Danio rerio: one gene and its partners. The protein of the gene in region 2 interacts with the protein of the main gene of each other region in a pairwise test. Links are inferred from orthologs where the notes say so. Each region holds a gene or a part of one and is shown on either strand. Other genes may lie near its edges.

Region 1 (5,563 bases), on a different chromosome or scaffold from region 2:
AAAACAGATGCCTTGTTAGAAACCTGTCCTGACCCCCTTAAGAAACTCACCAAACTCAATGAAAGAGAAAGGCCTCAAAGCACTGTTGATCCGCTTGGTGTCATACGTGACTATGAACTCTCTCTGAAGCTCATCTAAGAAGCTGAAGGCCAGGACATTGGGATAGTTCTCTGTGCAAACCATCAAGTACCCAACTCCGAGAGAGCTTGTGAAGCTGTGGAAAACAAGACATGTCACAGTTTACATCATACTTCTACAGTCAATTTTCATTTAGTATTCAATATAGAAGATGAATAAGTTGACACACTGACAGCTCTGGGAAGCAAAACATGTAAAAACATGACATCTGTCATTCCCAGACAGGACGGGCAAGGTCAAGAAAGTCCATTCCAATGACCTTCGCATTCAAATAACCATTGTGTATAAAAATCCCCCATCACCCTCTGTTTTACACCTGCTTTGAATCTGAACAGTTTAGTAACTCGCCCTCAGGAAAGAAGAAACTTTGTCAGTGTGTCTCTCCATGTTAACGTCTATTTGAGAGATGAAACGATCCACTGAGTCAGTCCAGAGAGAGATCGGACTTGTTTCTGCCTGCTTGTGAAGTGTGGACTGATGAATAGCAGCCAGGCTATGAAATGGTCACCCCTGGGTCCGTCAGTGTAATGCATCTGAATTAGACCTTGCTGAAGGGGAACTTTTAATTTTGCATCAGAACAGTTGGCAACCAGTGCACAGCACCCCACTGTGATTTGTTTTAGCTGGGATGTTTTAATTAAAGGAATGGTCATCCAAATATGAAATATCCGCCATCGTTTAGGCTACTTGCCCTAGCATTTTAACAAACAAGTCTGCCTTTTTGTTTCTTCCACTAAACATTACAGCTACCATCAATCAATAGCAATAAAATAGATAAAAAGCATGCCTAGCTATAGTTTTCTGTTTATTTCTAACTAAGGCTGCACAATATATTGCAAAATTTATAGTATATGCAATATACACTGTTAAAAAAATAAAGGGAACACTAAAAAACACATCCTAGATCTGACTATATTCTTATTAAATACTTTGTTATTTACATAGTTGAATGTGCTGACAATAAAAATCACAAAAAGATTATCAATGGAAATCCTTTTTATTAACCCATGGAGGTCTGGATTTTGAGTCACATTTAAACTTGTAGTAGTAAAACACTCAACAGACTGATCCAACTTTGATGTAATGTCCTTAAAACAAGTCAAAATGAGTTTCAGTAGTGTCGGTGTTACCTCTATGTGCCCATATGACCTTATACAGGTATAGGAAAAAATAAAAAAAATGCAAAAATAAAGATTAAAACAACAGCCAAACAGAGTCAGAATATCTGAGGGTTTCTGCAGGTTACACTACGATAAATTTAAGAATTTTAAAGACACTTTGAAGACCATTATAAAATAAATTTAGACCTATATCCCAGTTGGAAAAAAATGTATTTACCTAATCAAAAAATAATTGAACACATTTAATAATATAGTAAAAATTATAATAATAATTTAATAATTAAAAATAAAGGTCAGGTCAGTATCCTCAGCAGTGAATACATAGAGAACTTTAAACAAATGTTACTGTAAGAACAATTATTACACCATTATGGTAAATGGAGTTAAAATTTCTAAGTAAAAAAGTTAAATATTTAATTGAGATGGATTGTTGATGATTGTATGGTGTTGGTCAGATTGGATAGCTACACATAAACAAAGGAAAATGAAGACCTGATAAATAAATTAAAGATTTAAGTAGATTTAAGACTTTTTAAGGCCTAAAATTTATTTTTGAGACATTTTAAGACTTTCTATCCATCTTGCAGCCCACACAAAACAAAAAAATCTGAAGAATGTTGGAAACTCATCCATTGACATCTATAGTAGGAACAAAAAAAAAAAGGAATTATATGGCTGCTGCATTCCAGCATTCTTCAAAATATCTTATTTAGTGACAAAAGAAGGAAACTCGAACAAGTTTAGAACAAGTGGAGTGTGAGTAAATGATTTTCATTTTTGGCTGAACAGTCCCTTTAAAGTCTATGTTTTTCCAGTGCAAACATCACAGTTGGTTTTCACACTGGACATCTATGGTGTAAATGTGGTATAGCATAGCCATTTGGGGGAAGTTGTTTTTATATTCACACATTCAGACATTCGCGTTCAATTAAATAGTAAAGCAGAATTTAAATAGGCTAATAGCGGTTAATTATTATGATGTACTGTTATGAGCACCACACATTATATTGTTACTAACTGTAACTAAAAAGCTGATGAACACACTTTTCTGTATGGAAGGTCTGTATATTGTTTAACATACTAGTTTGAATATTCGGTCTGAATTCTGAAATCGCATGTATGACTTCCAGGATCGGACTTAACCAATGAGAGGGGTAAGCAGCCGCTTAGGGGCCCAGGGAATTAAGGGGACTTGACCAATGCGAAGAAGCCTATATTGCTCATTAAGCTTTTTTATAAGTTTTTTATCATATGTGGTAAAATCTGTCTACAACCATTACAAGATTGACATTATTACTACTAAGGGCCACCATAAATAGTGGAATGTTCCTTCCGTTCCGCACATGCAAATATTAAAATCTAATCACAAATATGGCTCCTTAACTGTACATAGTTTGCGAGCTTGCTGTTTGTGACTCTACAGTGAAAAAAAAATATCTACAGTATAGAGAAAGTAAGTGATTTGAGTTTCAATGCTAGGGCCCCATACCTGTAATTGCTTAGGGCCACTGATGACTTCAAAAGTATGACAAATCAACATTAGCACTATTTAATTGACTGTGAACGATGTAGTACTTTGATAGTCACTGGCTGCTAATATGATTTTCCCTATTTGGAATTTGCAAAGAATACTTTGTAATTATGAAATTACATTTAGAAGGTGAAATGCCACTACATGCAAAACTCACTTGATATTGTATAGTCCAGATCTGAGTGAGCAGCGATCAGGAAACTGGCTGAGTTTTTTGGACAGGACCTTGAGATGTTTCTTTGTCTCCTGAATTCCTTTATCCAGTTCATAGTCTGTGGAGGCTGAGAGAGGCAAACCGTCCCTCACTCTCACCACTGAGGCAAACAGGACCATAGACATCTTACAGAAAGCTCAGTTGACACCTGGAAGAACAGGATATTTAGGGCATTCACTGCATATAATGGCCCATTTACCACCCTCTTAGTTTTCTGCTAGCTAGAATAATCTAAAAAATTACATACAAAATCTAGACATATTTTACGAATTCTATAATATCATTCAGCTCTATGTACGTGGACTCATGACATCTGGTGCACACTGTGCTAAGCTAATAATATTAGCATGTTTGCTGACTTATTGTCATCATATCACGTTTGGTGATTGTCTTATGCGCTACAGAACCCCATATCTACAATAATACAGGCTTATAATATTTTAAGGTCAAGCTATTCTTTAAAACTATTCATCGCATTGATTTACAATGATGTGCAGTAGCGTTATATGGCTGTACTGCTACCATAGCAAGATACTTAACTAGACACTAAGCGACACTTATTGCAAGCATTAACACAGTCTTTCAGTGTACATACCTACTGACATGAGCCGATTAAAAATATATTAAGACATTATAACCCTTTTGAGTTATTTTGTTGATATACTATCTTGATCGTTGAGCTCTTCCTGCGGGTCTCATAGCGGACGGTTTTTGCTTACGTACGACACAGCTTCGGCTAAACTCGTAACAACTTCGGCACAGTCCCGGTTTCTCTTCGTATATTTTCGGAAAACATTCGGCTCTGTGACGGTCTCGGTGAGGTAAAGGATTATTTGTGGGCCACTGTAATCCACCGATGTTTTTTATGGAATAACCGAGATATTACAATCAGAAACAAATCATTTTTCCATAGGTGGATTTAAAATAATATTAATTGTATCCTTTGCTTGTTTGATGATGCAAGAAATTTGTTTTTGTTATGAACAATTTATAACATATCAGTTTCCCAGCTCATCCTAAAGAATTTAATAAAGTGGTTTAAGCAATTTCACCTGGTTTATTTCACCTAGTTAAAAGTCACTGTAGAACTAACCGACTTAGTGGATATTCATTCTCCTTTTAGTCTGTTAGATAAGGAATTTAACAATAAGTTTGTGTGTCAAATTTATCTATTTAAAAGGCACATTTCTTCTAGAAGAAAGATATATGGAGGACCTTCATTGAGTTTATAGTCTGGACTAGAACCAGGCTTTTACCTGGGAAATATTGCATGTCCAACAAGGCAAAATAAATGCATTTTACAATTTTACACAATTTATCCTGTAAGTTCTAGTATTTTTAAATTTTTGGACATTGACAGCTCCTGTTCTTTCTGCAAACAAGCAGAGGAGACAGTACATATGTTTTTGATTGTCCAATTGCTTTAGTCTAAAAGATATTATTTTTTATCATAATAACCCAAAAGATAAACCCCTGGAACACATAACTTTTTAAACCTATATGGCTAATTTTTCATTCACAAACAGAAATTTGCATAAAATTACCCTTCCTTTGCTCATTAGAATAAAATTCAACTTTCTCCTAAAATCACTTCATCTTATTAAGAATAATAAATAAAAACCCTAAGATTCCTGAATATTATACAGATGTATTTTAAGATTATCCTCGATTTTAGTTGCTTTCCTCATGATTATACTCGGGGCTTGACATTAACACCCGCAAACCCCCAAACGCGGGTAGATTTCAGCTGTGGCAGGTTAGATGATCGTGCACCCACAGTCCAGCTGAAAAATAATAGTATTATTCATTCATTCATATTCTTTTCGGCTCTGACCTTTGGGAACTTTGGGGTCACCACAGCGGATTTAACCGCTAACTATTCCAGCTTATGTTTTACACAGCGGATGCCCTTCCAGTTGCAACCCATTACTGGGAAACATCCATACACACTCATTTACACACATACATTATACGGACAATTTAGCCTACCAAAATTCACCTATAGCGCATGTCTTTGGACTTGTGGGGGAAACTGGAGCACCCGGAGGAAACCCACACAAACACAGGAAGAACATGCAAACTCCACACAGAAATGCCAACTAATCCAGCTGAGGCTCGATCCAGCGACTTTCTTGCCGTGAGGTGATCGTGCTACCCACTGCGCCACCGTGATGCATTATCCAATAAAAAATATATTTGATAAAGAATATTCTAAACTATTTTTATAAGCTAACCATAATGTTCCCATAGAAAAATTATTGTTTAATAATGTCACCGAATGTATATTAAATAGTACTATGATGAAGGTGTGATGCGTGTACAGACCTGACTGATTTTTCTGATTTGCCCTTGATTTTCCAACAATTAATCTAAACATTAATCCACAAATAGGAAATAAACAGTTGTAGTTAATGTAATAATAAATAAATCATATTCTTTGTGGTTCAAAAATATATTTATTCTTATGGACTAAATCACATACAGTAACAACTGTTCATTTGGATGGCATATCTTAACAGAGAGTAGAAACATTAATGTGATTCAGTGATTTATCTTATA
Region 2 (5,530 bases):
AAAATATGCATTTATTAAATGCCCCGCTGTTAGTATTATAATAATCACAAAACCTTTTTACATTTTTAATAGAAATCATTATTTTAAAGATTATGTCTTGCTATATGGTTTCCTTTCTCTCCTTCGCGGTTCAAGTGCACGCTGCATGATAAAAAGACAACAACGCGCGCATATGTTGACTTTTTGTAAACAGTTTTGTTTTTTAAATATGATATTGCATTAATGTGCATACATGCTTTATAAGCTGTAAAATAAAGGTAAAGCCTATTTGTTGCGTTTATGACGCAGATCCAGGTCAACATAAGCGCTGGTTTGGCATCAACACATCTGTTTCAAACAGCAATATTCTTCTTCCATTTTGCTTCTTTGGCAAATGTGTCTGTAGGCACGGGTTATACGTTATCGTCCCGCAAGTTAAGTAGGCCTATTTCTTGCAGTTGAACAAGTGGCCAACCACAGCTAACATGCTTTTTTCATTCCAAAAACGCGAGGCGCACCTTACTGCCTTTATGTTGACAAGGAAAAAAGAAGAGAAGTGCAGCCCTCTTATGAAACGACTGAATCAGCTGGGTATCGATTGAGCAAAAGTGTTGCTGTCTATGTTGTTACAATTTTTATATTTGATAATATTGTGATATTGAAGATTTGTACATTCATACAGCTCTGGATAACTTAAAACAGCGATTAGACCTTCAGAGCGGTGTTAATGCATCCTGAAGTAAAGCGAAACGGCTATAAACTCCAGCATGATAGAGTGATTATATGCAGAGTCATACTTTATCTATAAATAAAGTATAACTATAGAAACAGTGTTCATCTTAACTGAAAGCTTCGGCGTGTTTGCTGTCCTCACGCATCATGCACCTGTCAGTCAGTCAGTCAGCACGTAACGCCAAAGGATTAAACAGATAGCGCACAGCACTATACGGTTACAGAGAAGTTTGCGCTGTTATAATTCACTTTCCTTTTAATACGTTTTGATGCGATTATAATCCGCTATTAAAAACAAAAACAACTATAACTGAATGTTTTGAATGGGTATGTAGCTGTGGCGGGAAGCATTATGGTCCCCGCCATGGAAGAATGAATGTAGCGGAAACCAAGCTCTTTAAAAGTTCTCTCTAGTTGTCTTGACAACACAAACTGCTGCTCTGGGATGAGCCGCGCACAAAAGATGCTCCTCTTAACGCAAAGGCGCATTCAATCGGCCCCTTATGCAGCCAAACTAAAACTATATAAAATAATAATTTTAATCGTTTAACTGATAGCATTAATCGATAACAAACGCACCCTTTCGGTTAACGGTTAATCGATTATTTTGAGCATCCCTAATTAGTTCCTATGAAAAACTATTTAAAAATTGTGAAAACACTATTTTCAACATTGATAATGATACTGTTTGTTAATAAATAATAATTAAATCTTCCTTAAAAATCAAAATAGCCTATTAGAATGACTTTTTAGGGATTGTGTGACACTGAGAACAGAACAAATAGTTGCTGAAAAATCACAAGAACAAAAAAAAACATATAAAAATGTCTTACCAATATTATTTTAAACTTTAATATTTCACAATATTCTCTTTTCAACTACATTTTTGACGAGCAATGAGAAACTTCTTTTTATTTAGCATAAAAACTTTTTATGCATAATGTATATTAAATGTTATCAAAATATTTTTCAAATAAAAGTGTGATTTAAAAAGACTTAACAAATATGTAATATGGACAGAACAATATATGAACTCACATGAGCTCATAATTTCTTCTGATTGCCTCTGGAATTTTAGGTTTGGTGACTCTCACGGCCTGCAAATGTTAACACAGAATTAAATAAATCAAAACTAAAACCTTATTAAAAAATAGCAATATAAAAAAAAATGATACCTGAATGGTGAGACCAGGGGCCATACAATTCAAGTCCTTCTGTAGTGCAGTCTTCAAGTTCTCATCAATTATGTCTGTCATAAAACAAACAACACAAATGCCAGTTCAAGACCAATGTTCATCAAGTAAAAAGGCGCCAAATATGAAACCAGTGACACAACAGAAACAGGGCTCACATAAACAACAGAAAGTTCAGTACACTTAGCAGAATAAACTGTTTGACTTATCGGTGACTTACCGAACAGCTCAATGTAGACTTCCTGTAGTGTGTGCACACTGCAGAACTGGTTTAACTCATGGTGAATTTTATTGAAGATTAGCGTCTTGTCATAATCTGCAGTGTAATTCCTCACTATATCCACCACTGTGAAGGAAGAGGACAAATGTATGATCTAATTTAGGCATTGGAAAGTGGTCAGTTGAGTTAACTGAAAAAATATTACATATTACAGTTTATGGTGAGTGGAAATGTAAGAAAATGAATAGGATGTGAATGACTGATTATAAACCATGTGTTTTTGTACAATACAGTGACATATAGATACTTTATTTACTCATCATTTCACGTTTGTAGACAATGTGCTAGTGTGGCTGTTAGATTGGATTCAACCATAAAGTATAAGTGTTATTTTGTGAAAGCAATCAATCTAATGCATTTTTTGACTACCTCTGGAAGTGGCCCTCAACTCAGTTTACACCTATATTTAGTGTCATCTGCTTCTGATTGGATTGATGAAAGCACTTCTTAATAGTATATGTAAACAGAGCATTCTACAGACAGCATCTTTGGATGAAAACAGCTACTGACTTCTAATTAGACTCATGCCTTTTTCTTATATAATAAATTACTTGCACCTATGAAGATAAACAATGACAAAAACTGAAAAGAATGGAATGAACGTGTGGCTTTTGGAGGCACGGAACCACTCTTTAGGAGTGCAGCCGCTCAAGACTGGGAGGTAATAATACCCAACAAAAAAAGGCTTTTCTTAAGATTTTTTGTGTTATTGTCAAAATATTTAAAATTTCTTAAAATCAAAAAGCATTTTTAAAACAAGCAAAACATATCATCATATTTCTAGCTTAAATGGGGTAAGCAAAATAATCATTTGTAAAAGGGAAAAACAACATTACTCACCCCGTTTGGACTAGAAACAAGACAAAGAATATAAGAAACATTGTTGAAAGAAAAGCTTTTTTTTGCAGTGTACTGAACCACTTTAAAGACAGACTTTGGCTAAGGGATTTTAAAATGACCAAAACAACATTTCAGATGGTCTGCTGGTTGGTCCATAAATGTTGTTTCATCCTGCCCATTTTTTGTTATCACATAATCTGTTGCACCTGCTGGAATTTATTGTTTTCATCATCTAGTCTTGCTGAATAAAACGTTTATCCTACTCAGATGTGCACGTATGTTTTTAGTGCATTTAAAAATTGTGTTCACATCTTTATGTTTTCATTATGCATTTTTCATGTAATATTCCAAAATGTGCATAAAAACAGGCAAATGAAAACCGAGCTAGTTATACAGGTTTGGAAAAAAAGATTGAAGGTGGAAAAAATAAAGACGGACCATCCCTTGTTGTGTAAACTCTCTTGTTAAGAGTCTTACCTGAGGTTGGAATGAGCATGTTGACCACTTCAATTCTGTCAAAATAGATCATTACACCCCCACTGTGGACGAGACAACAGAGAAATTGTTCATTCTGGAGTACTAGAAAATATCCTATACACAATTATGACATTACTTTTCCATTTTAAGCAGTTGTTTTAAGACCTGTTCAATTAAATAACAACAGAAAAGTTTACCTAGTTCCACAAGGCACATTTTTTATTTCATCTGTTTGCAGAGTTGTCTATAAAGATGAAGGGGAAAAAAGATCAGTGTCTTCAACAAACATTTCTAATAATCCTGGTATTCACACATAAAAGGATGGTTCACCCAAAACTATAAAACTCAAGCTGTCATCATTTTCCTCAGCCCTCATAAACCTGCTTGAGTTACTTTTTTCTGTTGATCACAAAAGATTATACTTTGTAAAATGTTGGAAACCTGCAGCCATTGATGTCCATAGTATTTGTTTTTCCGATGCAGGTCAATGGTTAGTGGTTACTAACATTCTTCAAAATATCTTATTTTAGGTTTAACAGAAAAAATAAAACTCAAAAAGGTTTGGAGCCTCTTGAGTGTGAGTAAACAGTGAGTACATTCTCATTTTAAGGTGAATTACCCCTTTAAATTCCAAACCCCAGATAAACACAATCTTAAGTTATCTTGTGGCACAATTTACACTTCTCATAATTTACTTAGGATTAACAACTCATACTGCGTATTATTCATACACTAATGTTTCACACTGTAAATTCCTAAATCCTGGGATAAGATCAATGATTTGCATATTTGCAGTGTCATTGACTGCATAAATGAGGCACATGTCCGTTTTACATCCACACATCCTTTTACATTTGCATCCTAATTATATGTTGACAACAACTATCAGTTTTTTCCTTAATTAACTTTTCAGAAAATAAATGGAATACTGGTTTCTCCTTGACTCCAGTTGTGATTTTCCATCACAGCTTCACATCTTTCCTTGAAAATGCAAGACTATACAACACACATTGCTTTTGTGACTTTCCAAAGCATGTGAATAGGAGTCACATGATAGGATGTCGGTTACTGTGCATTTAGCTGTAGTATTTGAACACTATATTATTTTATAAATTAATTTTGGCACCACAATGAGGTGGTTGACAGTGTAAATGCAGAACTAACTTGGCTTAGAAGTACTGCTATACTAAATAAAAAGTGTGAAATGGTCTTTTGCCATATAAGGTGTAAGCACAGTGTGAAAAGCCCTTATAAATATCTTTGGCTCAGTTAAAATGAGTTTCTTTAAATAAAAGCATCTGCTAATTGCAAAATATTAGATAACCTTATAAATAAATTAATATAAAATTAGCATCAATTTACAGCTTTAAACAAAGCCATAATTCCTTCATAATTAGACCAAATGATAAATAAATGACAGTCGTACCTGCACTGATCTATAAGAAGTGATGAAAGGCAGCATTATATGGTAACCTGGGCCATTTGGAGAGGTCAACAAAGCTCCTCCTCTGTCAAAAAAAAAACATTATAAATATGGCAGCAATGTTATCTTCATGTGCATAGTGTTGTAAAAATTGTTAGAATAAAGATGATAATTCACCCCAAAATTAAAATTGGGTCATCATTTACTCATCCCCATGTCATTTCAAACCTGCAAAACTTTATTTTTTTCCTGAACAAAAATTAAGTTATTTTGAAGACTGCTAATAACTACTGACTTTCATTATATATTCAAAATGCACACATTTTGAATTATTTGGGCACAAGGGGTGTCTTTATAAACCACCTTACCCATGTCATTTTACAATTTGGTGTCTTCATAATCCAGCACACGCATATACACACTACACACATACACGAAAACACGTCAAAATATTATGTCCCCACATTGATCCGAACAAAAAAAAAAAAAACTAGTAAGACATTTTCAGAAGTGGACCCTGCATCTAATCGGTGTGAGCTAGAACCGGCATCCCTGGCTCATGTTCTGGAGCTGCCCAAAATTATCATCTAACTGGGAAAATATTTT
Region 3 (5,630 bases), on a different chromosome or scaffold from region 2:
TGTGATGCATTATTGCTTGTGAAATTCCTAGCAATTTCTGAGTTTAAACGTTTCATTCATTCATTTTCTTTTCTGCTTAGTCCCTTTTTTAATCTGGGTTCGCCACAGCGGAATGAACCGCCAACTTATCCAGCTTATGTTTTACGCAGCGGATGCCCTTCCAGCAGCAATCCATGGGAAACATACACTCTCACATTCACACACATACACTAAGGACAATTTAGCTCGCCCAATTCACCTATACAGCACATGTCTTGTGCAGAAAACTAAAGCACCCGGAGGAAACCCACATGAACACGAGGAGAACATGCAAACTCCCCACAGATATGCCAAGTGACCCAGCCAAGGCTCGAACCAGAGACCTTCTTGCTGTGAGGCAACATCACCGCCTGTTTTAAAATATAACTTTAAAAAACATTTTACAGTATTATTTTAGTTTTCTACTTTAAAATTTCACATTTAATGTAATACGCTTTTAAAATTTATTAGCAATTTCTGAGTGTAAATGATATCTACAACAAGTATTGTTCAGTTAACAATAATAATAATAAGTATTCAGTCACTGCTTTATATGTATGCTTATTAATCGATGTTAATGCTCTGTTCTTGCTGTTTTTATGTTCAAGTGTGTTTGATTTAAATAGTGGTACCTCATATTTGACAGTAACTAATGAACATTTTAATCTGTTCATTAAAAAAAAAAAAAAACAATCATGACAGATGACGGAATTCATGCAGAAAAACTATATTACCCATGATGCTGTTAGACAAATCTACCAATAAGGGACTTCAAGCCACCCACTCCCAACAAGCATTGTACAACGATAGAGTCGGTTTCGCTTAAATATTCCTGAATTTGCAAATTTTGCAATAAAGTTCATATATATATATATATAAATTCCATAATTATTTGGACATCAACACAATTCTACAATTTTTGACTCTATACACCAACACAATGGACTTGAAATGAAACGAACAAGATGTACTTATACTGCAGACTCTCAGCTTTAATGTGAGGGTATTTACATCCAAATCAGGTGAACGCTGTAGGAATTACAACAGTTTGCATGTGTGCCTCCCACTTGTTAAGGGTCCAAAGGTAATTAAGCAGAATAATAATCATAAATTAAGCTTTCACTTTTTAATACTTGGTTGCAAATCCTTTGACATCAGACGTTGGGTTTCATTCCTGGTGGTGCTCTGCCAGGACTCTACAGCAACTGTCTTCAGTTCCTGCTTGTTCTTGGGGCATTTTCCCTTCAGCTTTGCCTTCAAAAAGTAAAATGCATGCTTAATCGGATTCAGTCAGGTGATTGACAAGGCCATTGCATAACATTCAACTTCTTTGCCTTCAAAACCTATTTGATTGCTTTTCCAGCATTCAAATGCTTTTTCTGGGTCATTCTCCATCTGCACTGTGAAGCACCATCCAATGAGTTCTAAAGCATTTGGTTAATATGAGCAAAAAATATTGCCTGAAACACTTCAGAATTCATCCTGCTGCTTTTTTCAGCAGTCAAATCATAAATAAATACAAAAGAACCAGTTCATAGCTTATAACAAGAAAACCATTTATTTGAATAGGAAACTAATTTAGAAAAATGAGACGGGCTCTACCCTACTCATATATACAGGCAATCATATAAGATCTATTGAATCTTATTATACACATCACATTATGTGAATATAATCTAAATTACAGAAAATGTCAATCTGACCTGCAACAATTTCTAGTGAACTAGAATGCTGGTGTTACCTCTTTTTTCCTGTTAGACCTTTAAGTATGTTAAGTAACATGTTATACTATTGTAATAACCAGCATTTTCGTTGGCATTATCATTTTAAACCCAAGCTTTACTACAAAAACTATAGATAACTGGTCAGCGAAGAAAAAACAATACAAAAACACATTTGTATCCTACTAAAACCATAATAGTCATCAGAGTGAAAAACTAGCATTAAAAGTTATAAAAAACGTCTTTCTGAGCAATAACTCGAGTTAAATTAAAACATAGGAAATCTTTGACTTATCAAGTCACGTCTCACAGAACCATAAAACGCTATTGACAATATCTGAGTCGCACCCAGTGTGCAAACACAACGACCGGCTTATGTCACCAACAACGCCCACAAAGAGGAAGTGCACCCAGCAAGTATCGATAGCTAACGTTACGTGAGAACTCAACTTTTCACATCATTTAAAATTAATACAAAACATAAACACAAAACGTGAAACCTAAACTATGACAAAACGACACAAACACAAAAGGAGCATCGTTTTGTCAGTACACAGTACCGCGGCGCGCGCGCAACAGGTGCTTGAACAGGACGTAAATGCGTCATGAATTATTCATGAGCAGGCTGGGTATGAACTCTGCTCAAAGCTAAAGTTGAAAGTCAGTAGTTGTAGTCCACGAGCGCTGGGGTCCACCTGCGTGCCTGCTGTTCTCTCTCCTCTTGTGGACACCCCTAAATGAGTACCAAAATGTCGCCCTCGTTGTCCCCTCGTTTCTTTTCCGAAAAGGAGGTAGCCAAACATTGCACCAAGGATTCGTGCTGGGTGTTGTTAGGGACGCGCGTCTACGATGTGACGGCGTTCCTGCGGATGCACCCCGGCGGAGAGGCGCTCATCCTCCGCCGCTCGGGGAAGGACATCAGCCTGGAGATCGAGGGACCCCCGCACCGGCACTCGGAGAACGCCCGGAGGTGGATGGAGCAGTACTACATCGGGGAACTCGACAGAGACAGCACGGATGAAGACACGGAGGAGGTGAGTCCTGAAGTAACAAGATAAAGTCGCTCGAATTATCACAAGCATCGTTGTTTTGAGGAAGTTTAACTTTACGAGAGGTCACATCTTAAGACGGCAATGATTCGTTCAGGAAATGCATTGCTCCACATAAACAGAGCAAGAAAGGTGATTTCTTCTGAAGGGAATACATTTTTTGGTACTTTTTTAAAGTGCTGTCAGATTTATGTTAGAAACTTTATTCTTTTAAAGAGACCCAAATATGTAAATTGTCATCAATTAATCACCATTTACTTATTTCAAACCGTTATCAGTTCGTTTCTTCTGTTAAACACAAAGGAACATATTTTGAAAAAACGTTGGGAACCTGTAACCACTGACTTCCATAGTATTTGTTTTCCTACTATGGAAGTCAATGGTTACCGGTTTTTCAGCTTTCTTCAGGATATCTTTTGTTTTCAGCTGAAGAAAGAAACTTATATTAGAAGCACTTGAGGATGAGTAAATAGTGAGTACATTTATATTTTTAGGTGAAATATCTGAATTTGTGGTACTTGTTTGTTCATGATTCGGGCCTGTTTGAGCAGTACTCAAGTCACTAACTCACTGAATCAATAAATTAAATATTGACTTAATTTTTTCATCTTTATTAAAATATATAAAAAAATAATCAGATGATCATATAAAAATAATCATATGAATCACATGTATTTACTAATTTTAATCCTCCGTTTGAAAAAATATATTTAGTGTGAATTAGTTATTATTTTGGTTCTAAATGACTAAATAAAGGCAAAAATGCCAATCATTAAATCATGATAAACTTTATTATTTATTTAGCCATGTCAGGGAAATATGCTTGTACTTTGTTTTATGTTTTATTTCTGGCATAAGTCACATGCAGTGTTATATATTTCCCCCAGTAAATAGAAAAATAAGCTAGTGTTGTCTGAAAATAATTTAACAAAAATTTAAATCGTAGTATTTCATCATTATTATTATTATTGTTATTATTTCTGTGCATATTAACTACAGCAATATACACAGTAAAAAATAACTACTACATTTTCTGTTAAATGAACCATGTTCTAAAATTGATCTTAAAGGTTTAGATCACCCACAAATTTTATCATTTTAACCATTTTTCATGTGATTTAAGGCATTTATGAGCTTTTTTCTTAAAAAAAGAAAAAAAAAAAAAAAGAAAAATTGAGGAATGCTGGTTGCTGGAATCCATCAACTCCCATAGTAGGAAAAGAAAAGAATATGAAAGTCAATGAGTGCAGCAACCAGCATTTTCCAAAATATTCTCTGTGTTCATCAAAAGATAGAAACTCAAATAGGTTTTGAACAAGTGAAGAATGAGTAAACGATTAAGAAAAGTTTTATTTTTGGGTGAACTATCCCTTTAATTAAGAATTGATTGATTAAGAGTACATTTTAACATGCAGGACAAAAAATGAACTGCAATTTTATATGTAAAAATATAATATACAAAAAGTGTACTGGTAATTTAATTTACTTAACTGCTTTTTTTAAACAATACTGTGCATAACTACCGCGATATACTCAGTAAAAATCACTAGTACATTTTTTTATGAATAAATAAATCATGATTTAAAATTGCTCTTAAAGGTTTAGATCACCCAAAAATGTAAATTATTTAACCTCTCTCTCTCTCTCGTGGTTTTAAACCTTTATGAGCTTCTTTCTTCTTTTAAACACACCAAAAAAGAAAAAGTTTGATGAATGCTGGTTGCTGGAACCCATCGACTTCCATAGTAAGAAAAGAAAGGTCTATGAAAGTCAATGAGTGCAGCAACCAGCATTTTTCTTAATATCCTCTGCGTTCAACAAAAGATATAAACTCAAATAGGTTTTGAAAAAGTGAAGAATGAATGAACGATTCAGAAAAGTAAAATTTTTGGGTGAACTATCCTTCTAATTATGTATTGATTGATTAGGAGTACATTTAAAAGGAAAAAAATGAAATGCAGTTTTTTATACAGTGCTCAGCATAATCGAGTACACCCTATTTTGAAAATGAATGTTTTTATCCATTTCTCAGTGAATATATAGGCAATATATTTTGGTGCATTTAAACAAAACAGATTTCTTAAACAGATAATTCAGCCTAATTTCACAAGGAAACTTAAGTATTTTACGTTTTGTCAGTTTAAAGGCTAATTCGTACAAAAATGTAAGATTTTAAAAAAGGTGGCACCCCCACCTCTAACTGTCATCGATTGATGAGCAAATCGTACTAAATTGTATGAATTAGATTAGAAATTAGCCAATAAATCAAAAAGTTAAAAAATGCTGTGAGATTGCGTTGGATATTTTTAATCAAATAATATTTTAGTGACCAAACATATTTAGAGATTAAAAGATAATACAATTAAATTAAAGCAAAATATTGCAAATAAAAAAATTAAAACCTACAAAATTCAACTAAATTAACAAAGTTTTTTGCTTCTCTTGATTTTTCCTTTTCTTAAAATTGTATTTAATATTTTTCTGACATAAATTTAAGTGTACTTGTTTTTGACCTTTATCGTAAATTATTTTGTTAGATAAGTTCCAGCACTGACTAATCTATATGTATATACACAATATTGTATAGCTAAGAATTTAAAAGGCTAGATTTGTGAGGTGTGTACTTATAAATACTAAGCACTGTATATATAAAATGTACAGTAAGTTTACTGGTAATTTTATTTTATTATATATATATTTTTTGCAGTTATAATATTAAATACCAGCACATGTAAAGATGTTTGAAGAGAAGTAAATAATGTGTGAATGCATTCTTAGGAAATTGTACCAGTAAAATAGTCAGCAATTGCCATGAGATTATGTTGCATAAATCACATGACAC

The links.
Region 1: the proteins of erlin1 (region 2) and sec22a interact in binary tests that used the Homo sapiens proteins (3 or more experiments, as listed by UniProt). The two-hybrid records come from large-scale screens. The link is inferred for Danio rerio from reciprocal best matches to the Homo sapiens genes ERLIN1 and SEC22A.
Region 3: the proteins of erlin1 (region 2) and fa2h interact in binary tests that used the Homo sapiens proteins (3 or more experiments, as listed by UniProt). The two-hybrid records come from large-scale screens. The link is inferred for Danio rerio from reciprocal best matches to the Homo sapiens genes ERLIN1 and FA2H.

Annotation. Positions count from the first base shown.
Region 1 is NC_133184.1:39,560,433-39,565,995, reverse strand, and holds the start of sec22a (vesicle-trafficking protein SEC22a), read right to left. Parts: upstream 3,754-5,563; 5' UTR 3,604-3,753; exon of another isoform or gene 3,600-3,603; intron 3,153-3,599; 5' UTR 3,130-3,152; coding exon 2,948-3,129; intron 215-2,947; coding exon 51-214; intron 1-50. UniProt on the Homo sapiens protein: May be involved in vesicle transport between the ER and the Golgi complex.
Region 2 is NC_133188.1:27,926,074-27,931,603, forward strand, and holds part of erlin1 (erlin-1), read right to left. Parts: intron 5,010-5,530; coding exon 4,928-5,009; intron 3,746-4,927; coding exon 3,699-3,745; intron 3,564-3,698; coding exon 3,502-3,563; intron 2,251-3,501; coding exon 2,125-2,250; intron 1,961-2,124; coding exon 1,887-1,960; intron 1,809-1,886; coding exon 1,750-1,808; intron 1-1,749. UniProt on the Homo sapiens protein: Component of the ERLIN1/ERLIN2 complex which mediates the endoplasmic reticulum-associated degradation (ERAD) of inositol 1,4,5-trisphosphate receptors (IP3Rs).
Region 3 is NC_133200.1:14,542,808-14,548,437, reverse strand, and holds the start of fa2h (fatty acid 2-hydroxylase), read left to right. Parts: upstream 1-2,411; 5' UTR 2,412-2,476; coding exon 2,477-2,773; intron 2,774-5,630. UniProt on the Homo sapiens protein: Catalyzes the hydroxylation of free fatty acids at the C-2 position to produce 2-hydroxy fatty acids, which are building blocks of sphingolipids and glycosphingolipids common in neural tissue and epidermis.